Daphnia pulex: one gene and its partner. The protein of the gene in region 1 interacts with the protein of each later gene in a biochemical or structural test. Links are inferred from orthologs where the notes say so. Each region holds a gene or a part of one and is shown on either strand. Other genes may lie near its edges.

What was found.
Region 2: the proteins of probable citrate synthase 2, mitochondrial (region 1) and alpha-crystallin A chain-like form a complex in vitro, tested with the Homo sapiens proteins (3 studies listed by BioGRID). The link is inferred for Daphnia pulex from reciprocal best matches to the Homo sapiens genes CS and CRYAB.

Annotation. Positions count from the first base shown.
Region 1 is NC_060018.1:6,453,909-6,458,443, reverse strand, and holds probable citrate synthase 2, mitochondrial, read left to right. Parts: upstream 1-1,492; 5' UTR 1,493-1,644; coding exon 1,645-1,692; intron 1,693-1,910; coding exon 1,911-2,060; intron 2,061-2,121; coding exon 2,122-2,319; intron 2,320-2,372; coding exon 2,373-2,561; intron 2,562-2,628; coding exon 2,629-2,828; intron 2,829-2,898; coding exon 2,899-3,002; intron 3,003-3,068; coding exon 3,069-3,601; 3' UTR 3,602-3,917; downstream 3,918-4,535. Other genes in the region: uncharacterized protein LOC124189052, read right to left, coding at 13-327, 387-875. UniProt on the Homo sapiens protein: Key enzyme of the Krebs tricarboxylic acid cycle which catalyzes the synthesis of citrate from acetyl coenzyme A and oxaloacetate.
Region 2 is NC_060026.1:2,241,426-2,244,895, reverse strand, and holds alpha-crystallin A chain-like, read right to left. Parts: upstream 1,856-3,470; 5' UTR 1,704-1,855; intron 1,639-1,703; 5' UTR 1,632-1,638; coding exon 1,425-1,631; intron 1,343-1,424; coding exon 1,267-1,342; intron 1,201-1,266; coding exon 1,155-1,200; intron 1,094-1,154; coding exon 984-1,093; intron 922-983; coding exon 839-921; 3' UTR 684-838; downstream 1-683. Other genes in the region: alpha-crystallin A chain-like, read left to right, coding at 2,125-2,328, 2,395-2,628, 2,695-2,820. UniProt on the Homo sapiens protein: May contribute to the transparency and refractive index of the lens. Has chaperone-like activity, preventing aggregation of various proteins under a wide range of stress conditions.

The DNA of each region.
Region 1 (4,535 bases):
TTTATACAACTCTTACAGAAACCAAAATGAATATGGAATTAAATTATTATTGCCTGGAATCTGATGTTGGATAAATGGATTGATTTGAAACTGACAACACTGATCATGAAAGGAAGATTCAGGTAGGATAGGAGTTTTAGAAATAACCATACAATCAATAAAATCTTTCAAAGCAATTTCAGGATCCCTATATCGCATTTGTGGAGCATTCTTTTCTGCTAGATTGTGAAGCCTTGTTTCATCTTGATCCACAAGCTGTTCCACATTAAATGAAATAGGCTGAAGGCGAGAAAAAATTTGCCTGGATGGATTCAAAACTGTTGAAACCTATACAACATCCAAAGATTATAGGTTTTCTTTAGAAAATAAATCATAAAAAAGAATACCTTTGAGTTTAATAATTTCTGCATTTTTTTATCCTTTTCAACTTTGTGGCTGAGTAAATTCCGAGTTTCAATCTCCAAATTCTTCAGTGTTTCAAGGTTTTTCATAAGGACAACAGAACTTTGAAATATCGGTTGGTTTAATTTTTGCTGGTGTGTTGCAGTGGTTGAATAGCTGCATAATGTTGAATTGTATGTTTTAGGTATCCCAACAGCTTGGATTCTTTGAAGTATGTCCACATGAGATGTTTCATTTTCAATTACCACAATAGGAGAGTTTATTTTACTTTTGGCGTTTGAAGTGTTGAGAATTTCAACGTGAGAACGTTTCTTGACAGACGAGAACCTTTTTTTGGTGTCAGATGAAAATAATTTGTTTTTACCGACTTTGTCTAGTGGAACTGTTCCGTTTGCACCTTTTTTCAACACTTTTACGGTCCCAGAGTTTCTTAGCTGTTGAGAAGAATCCTTCGATGGACGAGACCGCTCCATCTCACAATAGTGATCTTATAGATGAATATGTAGTTTCCAAAATAGAAATCCAATAAACAACAACCACTAGCAGAGTTTCATAACTATATAACTGCTCTGCAGATATTTAAAATTGTTAATGAAAAATTACAACGAACACTACGTTGTCAGACGGTTAATTTATATCATATTACTTGTGAAATATAAATGAATGAGAACTTCAAAGAAAGGTGGAAAAAATCGCAACGAAAAATATCATAAAAGGATTTTTTCTGGCTTACCACTCTTTTTATCTCTGGATCACAAATTTAAAACGGATTTTTCGACCATTTGGCAACGGACAATTACAAGAACATCGTCTGTTTCTACTTCAAAAGGCCCGATGGCGATCTTTGCTTTCATTTCTAGGGATCTGTTAGCGCCTCTACTGTGCTCAGGTTAAATAATAAAACCTTCCGAAATATAAATCAAGAGAATATAATAAATTTGGATTCCATAAACCTTACACATTCAAGAGAAATAGGAAATATCTATAAAAAGGAGTAAGCAACAAAACGGTAGCCGAATTTTGCCAAATATTTGCAATGTACAAGAGATGGCGCTCTATAAATCTCAGAGCATTAAAAAGCAACTGGAGGCATTTACACTAGATTATCTAAGTTACAGACACACGATTCACGAAGATCTGGTGACCTCGTAAAAGCTCCATATTTGCGGATCACGGTTTCGGTCACTTTACCCAGCTTTATTAACTTTCGTCATTGCTAGTTAAACTGCATCTCTTGTTGACATGGCTCTGTTTCGCACATTATCTTTGCGGTTAAGCTCCCCTCCTCAGGTAAAATATAATTGGTATAAGTGAAAAAATCCTCGACGTCTTACTTCTGTTCGAAACAAATTTCCGCCTTTCTAGGATCCATTTCTTTAAATATTGCAAAAATTCTTTCCATGTCTTTTTTTAATTAGCACTTTTGTTTCAAATGGTGCCTCTAATATATATAGTTGTATAAATATTGGTATTCTCATTATGTAACACATTTTATAATTATCCTGCAGGGCTCTATTTCTACCATTGTAAGAGCATTCTCTGATCATACTGATCTGAAGGATGTTCTTAACAATAAAATCCCTTATGAACAGGAACGTGTCAAGAAGTTCCGTAAAGAACATGGCAATGTAAAAATTGGTGAAATTACAGTGGATATGGTGGGTTACACATATGAACAAATCACATGATGAATCATAAATAACCCACAAAAAAAACTAGGCATATGGAGGTATGCGCAGCATGAAAGGTTTGGTCACAGAAACATCTGTCCTAGATCCTGAAGAGGGAATCCGCTTCAGGGGATTATCTATTCCAGAATGCCAACGTATGCTACCTAAAGCTAAAGGCGGGGAAGAACCTCTACCTGAAGGTTTATTCTGGCTTTTGATTACTGGAGATGTTCCAAATGAAGCCCAAGTAATATCTGATGGATATATCACTTGTATGTTTTACCTAACTATTTTTCTTAGGTGAAAAGCTTGTCTAAAGAATGGGCAAGCCGTGCTGATCTTCCATCTCATGTTGTGACCATGCTCAATAATTTCCCAGCCAACCTTCATCCAATGTCACAGTTCAGTGCAGCAATCACTGCCCTGAACAGTGAATCCAAATTTGCCAAAGCTTACTCTGAGGGACTTCACAAATCTAAATATTGGGAGGTAGGTGACCATTAATATTACATGTTTTTAAACACACGATATCAATCGATTGATGTGACCGTTATAGTACGTCTACGAAGATTCTATGGATTTGATTGCCAAACTTCCTACTGTCGCTGCCACAATCTATCGTAATTTATATCGCGATGGATCTTCGATTGGAGCGATCGATACCAAAAAAGATTGGTCAGCTAATTTCGCATCCATGTTAGGATACACCGACCCTCAGTTTACCGAACTGTTGCGACTTTATCTAACTATTCACAGGTAATGCCGTCTTGGCATTATAATTAAGTCAAGTTTAATTGGCGTTACTATTTTTTAAATGTTTTTGTAGTGATCACGAAGGAGGAAACGTTTCGGCACATACAGTCCATCTGATAGGATCTGCTTTATCAGATCCATACTTGTCATTTGCTGGCGGTATGAATGGATTAGCAGGTATTCTAATTTAGCACGGTTTATATGTAGTGAGGTCCAAATTAAAATGTTGTTGTTGTTTACCAGGACCTCTTCACGGACTGGCCAATCAAGAAGTTTTGGTGTTCTTAAACAAAATTACAGCTGCTTTGGGAGATGGGTGGACTAAAGAGGGTTTGGTCCAGCTCATTAAACAGCAGCTTGCTTCTGGACAAGTAGTACCTGGGTATGGCCATGCTGTGTTGCGCAAAACTGACCCGCGTTACACTTGTCAGCGTGAATTTGCTCTCAAGCATTTGCCCGACGACAAGATGTTCAAGCTTGTTGCCCAGCTATACGAAATTGTCCCAGATATCCTTCTGCAAACAGGAAAGGTCAAGAATCCTTGGCCAAACGTTGACGCCCATTCTGGTGTTTTGCTGCAGCATTACGGCATGTCTGAAATGAGCTATTACACCGTACTATTCGGTGTATCTCGAGCACTCGGTGTGCTGGCATCTTTGGTTTGGGATCGTGCGTTGGGTCTCCCACTCGAGCGACCCAAATCCATGTCAACTGATGGACTTATGAAATTAGTTAAATCCCTCCAATCCCAAGCCAATGCGGCAAAAGGAGCGTAATAATTTTGACGAACTGATAGTAATATACAACCTTACTACATGTTAAAGAATCAAACTTTTACTTTGTTTTCGTGTTGACTGTAAGTCGAATCCGTGTTAGATTATTCCTGAGTGTGCGACACCATCTCCTGGAATTTTTTCAATGCAAACCTAAATAGAATTTCTTAATAACGGCGACTTAACTGGAACAAGGGATTGGTACAAACACGTTTCGATGGTGTCACCTGTCATAGTAGTAATGAGAAGTTGATCGTCTGTAAAACCCTAAAGTAATAGTTGTAATACCCACAATAATAAACGTTTTCACTGGATGTAACTACACCGAAGAATTTTTGATTGATTTTGTGTTTCAAAATTTTATTTCAACTTCAGCGCTACTTTTTCGTCTTCTCCAACTGCTACAAGCCCAACACCCACCCACCCACCTCCCAAAAAGAAAAAGCTTGCATTAAGTTAATGAGAACATGTTTTCCCGGCAACTTCAAGATATTATTTGTTACCTGTATTGACATCACCGGTTTTGGGCGTTATGCACAAATATGGCTGGTTTGGAAATGCTGTATCTAAAAAGTTGTTTCTTTTCAGTTTTTTTCTTTCTTTTAATAAAGCTATTGCGCAATGACGAAATATTCTAAATTTAATTCTATTTTTTATGTTATTTTCTAAACAAAAGAAAATATTTTTTTCTCGTTTTTTTTCTGTAGCTACCTACGTTCATTCTTTTCATTGGTTCATATTGATGAAAGTGATTGAAAAATTGTAAATGGACGGTTACCACTATCAAGTTCTTAAATATTCCACTAGGGCGCTGCCGATTTCTAGTACTAGGCTACTAGCTGTATGGCTGCCCCAGTTAAGGATTTCTTCTGTTCTCAGCTCACTTCGTAACAGATTTTATGGTTTAGGTTGATCGATAGTCGATTGAATTTCTCTT
Region 2 (3,470 bases), on another chromosome or scaffold:
ATGCCTGCGATGAAAGGGGTAATGGTAGAAAGGGTTATTATTTTCGAAGACTTAAAACCAATTTGGCAACTCTACCTTCTTTGTGTGAAAGTACAAAGGCGCAATAATATTCCAGCAATAACAAAGGAGGATGAAACAGTTTCTCTCATTTTTGTCTTACAGCTTGGAATTGTGAGCATAAACAAAATAAAAGTATGGCAACCCTGAAAATCGTGCGACACTGATTTGCGATTGTCATTTAACGAACCCAGCCGTTATTGCATAACGAGCTTCTCATACGACTACTAGATGGCGCCACCGCTCGGATTGGCCGGACATCCTTGAGCCCGTTCGGTAAAAAAATGCCACACTTTTGGGGTTTTTACGCTTCAACCCGGGCAGTGACCCGGGATTTCATGTCCCGGGTTAAAGCCGTAGTCGACGACTCTTGGAAGTGAGTAAAGTAAGTTTACCCACCATATTCGATGCCATGGTATCTTTCTATCTCCATACTTTTTCTTTTGTTCATCGAAGAAATGGACATTTTTTACTATATGTACTGTATAGTATCTATTGTTTTCTTGTGAAATGGAAACAAAATGTATAATCATGTCAAAATTTTTCGAGCTGAAATTATATCTGATTTTCTCGTTAGCTAAGGTTTGTATTCATGAACGCTTCTAACATGAAATATTAAATTACAATTAGTTATTGAAATCTGTATTTTAAGCCGAACAACATATATCAACAAACACAATCACCCATACCCATCACACCTATATAACTGCAACTTTTTTTCGAAAAGGAAAAATGAAAATAGACGATTCTTTTTTCTTTTGACAACAAACGCGCCAACGTCCTAATTTCCTTGGATTGGAGTCGGAGGATTAGTTGATCCAGCAGTCTGAGTCATGGTAATTGGGATGACTCGTTCTTTAGAACCTGAGGAATTACAATCCAAAAATTAGACTTCTGCACGATAAAAAGTTTAATTTTGAAATTGCCTTCAAGCATAATTTTTGGAGCCATAATGGTCAAAATTCCTTCGGGCGACATAGTGGACGTCACCGTCTCGGGATTTACGCCTTGGGGAATGGTAACACGACGACGAAATCTAATTAAGAAAAATATTTAGCTTTTAAGATTAAATTACACCTAATGAAATAATAACTTACTCCCGCGAGACGTGTGAGAATTGATCCTTGCGTTCCTCATGCTTGGCTAAAAAAAATAATCACCCATTTTATAGCTCACATTAAAGGAAATGTAATTGATAATTAGACTCACCGTGGACAATGATGTTATTGTCGGTCGTCTTCACAGAGATCTCGTTTGGCTGGAAATGCGAAACATCGACCATCACCTGAATAATAAACAATTTTTAGTTCACAGAGCACAGACACACCCACACACTCAAATTAATAACAAACAATTTGACTATATACCTGAAACGATTTGTCGTCTTCCTTGACGCTGGATAAAAGTTTTCCAAGTTCACGATCCATGTGACGCATCGATCTCCTCATTGACCGCGGAACAATGTTGAATCGGTTCAAGAAAGGATCCAATGTTTGCATCGGCTCGAACTGAGTGAGCTGATTGAATGGATCCATCATGCTGTCGAAGGGATCGTTAAAAGGTAGGAGAGACATGATAAGCCTAAAAACATTTAATCAAAATGAATAATTAAAACATGAAGTAAAAAACATAACGGCTAAAAATACAAATAATTGGAAGATGGGGGAGATCAATCACCAACAGCGAACGGCTCTGCAATAATTTGCTGGACAAATTGGGAATCGTTTTATACTTGTCGCTGTAGACGAGATTGCAACGTTTTTTTTTAACTGCACGAATGGTAAAAACTAAAAAGCATTTGTCACTAGTAATCGTTAGACTAATAAATCGTATTGCCATCGTTAGAAAATTATCTTTAACAAAATACCAATTACCAAGTATAAGTTCCACTTCATTTACTAATCATTTACCTCGAAAATCAACGTTTGAATGGCTGAGTAGAGAACCTTCTAGGAATCGATAGCTAACCTATATAAGCCCTTGGACAAACCGTTCCGAGCCTCAGTCGAGAAATTTACGTTGCCAATTCTTTGACGTGTTCTCTCCAACTTTTTCCAGTTCGAAATCATGGCTCTCTGGAACATCGATCCTTTCTTTGATATGGGCATGGGCTGGCCTAGAGATCCTTGGGCCGTTTATCGCCAGGACCCGCTGACTCGTTGGATGGAATCGTCTCTTCCTTCGGTTTTGTCAGCAATTGACTTCGCTCCCACCGGCACCCGGCGTCGTTCACCAATCAGGGAAGTCGTCAGCGACGAGAACAAGTATCAGGTAAAATTCCCAACCGTTATATCGCTCTTATTCATTTCCATATTTAATTCTATTGTGTTTATGAAGGTGACTCTTCACCTGGGAGATTTCAAGTCCGACGAGATCAACGTCAAGCTGGTTGATCGCAATCTCGTGATTCACGCCGAACACAAAGAAAAGCCCGACGAGCATGGCCACATCTCGCGCAACATCAAACGCAGTTACATTCTCCCTCGTAACGCGGATTTTGAGAATCTGAATGCCACTTTGTCGGACGACGGAACTCTGGTGGTTTGCGCTCAGAAGAAGGCGGTTGAACCGGTTGGTGGCAATAGAATATTTTTTAAATTCGTGTTTTAAAATGTTGTGTGGATGTATTTTTACCAGGAGAAGGAGCGTGAAATTGAAGTGAAGCAGCTTCCGCCTACATCCCAGCAGTCCGTGAAATCCGGGCAGGAGACGCAGAAGGGAAATGTCAACATTCCCGTGAGTCGTGAGGCCGGCAAAAACTAAAGCAGATTGGAAAATGGATTCCCATCTTTGAAGGCTTTTTGAATCGTCGAAGCGTGTTGTGATTCGTTTGGAATCGTTAAGATTTTAATCAAGAAATGTGTGCTTGTTATTGTGTTGAAAATTATTGGAGTCTCGTCGTAGGGCTTGCATCTGCTTCTGAGAAATGAGAATAAAGAATGTCATTTTTGAAACAACTTTTGTAACGCTGATATTTAAATAACTCATCGTTGGCGTATTTTTTTCCATTTCACAAGGCCGAAGAGAAAATTCGAGAGAAAATTTTATGACAGATAATTCGACGCTATCAGCCACAAGAATATTGGAAATTAGATGATTAATAACATCTGGTTGGATGTTGCAAATCCAGTTTGGCCAAAATCTTATTTAATCCGGTTAAATATCCGGTTTAATTCGATTCGAATCAATTTTCGACTCATTTTCGCAATCTGGCAAATGCCAAACCGAGTCATCCCAGATTGCAGACTACAATTTCCACACACGAAACGTCAATTTGTAGTTTTTTAGAGAATGTGAAGAAACCATGGTACACTCGCCAGAACATGCTGTTTTATATATTAACATTTCTTGAAACCACAAACCATTTCATGTATCGACTTGCATTAATTATCTGACTGGTGTGGTTTCGTTAT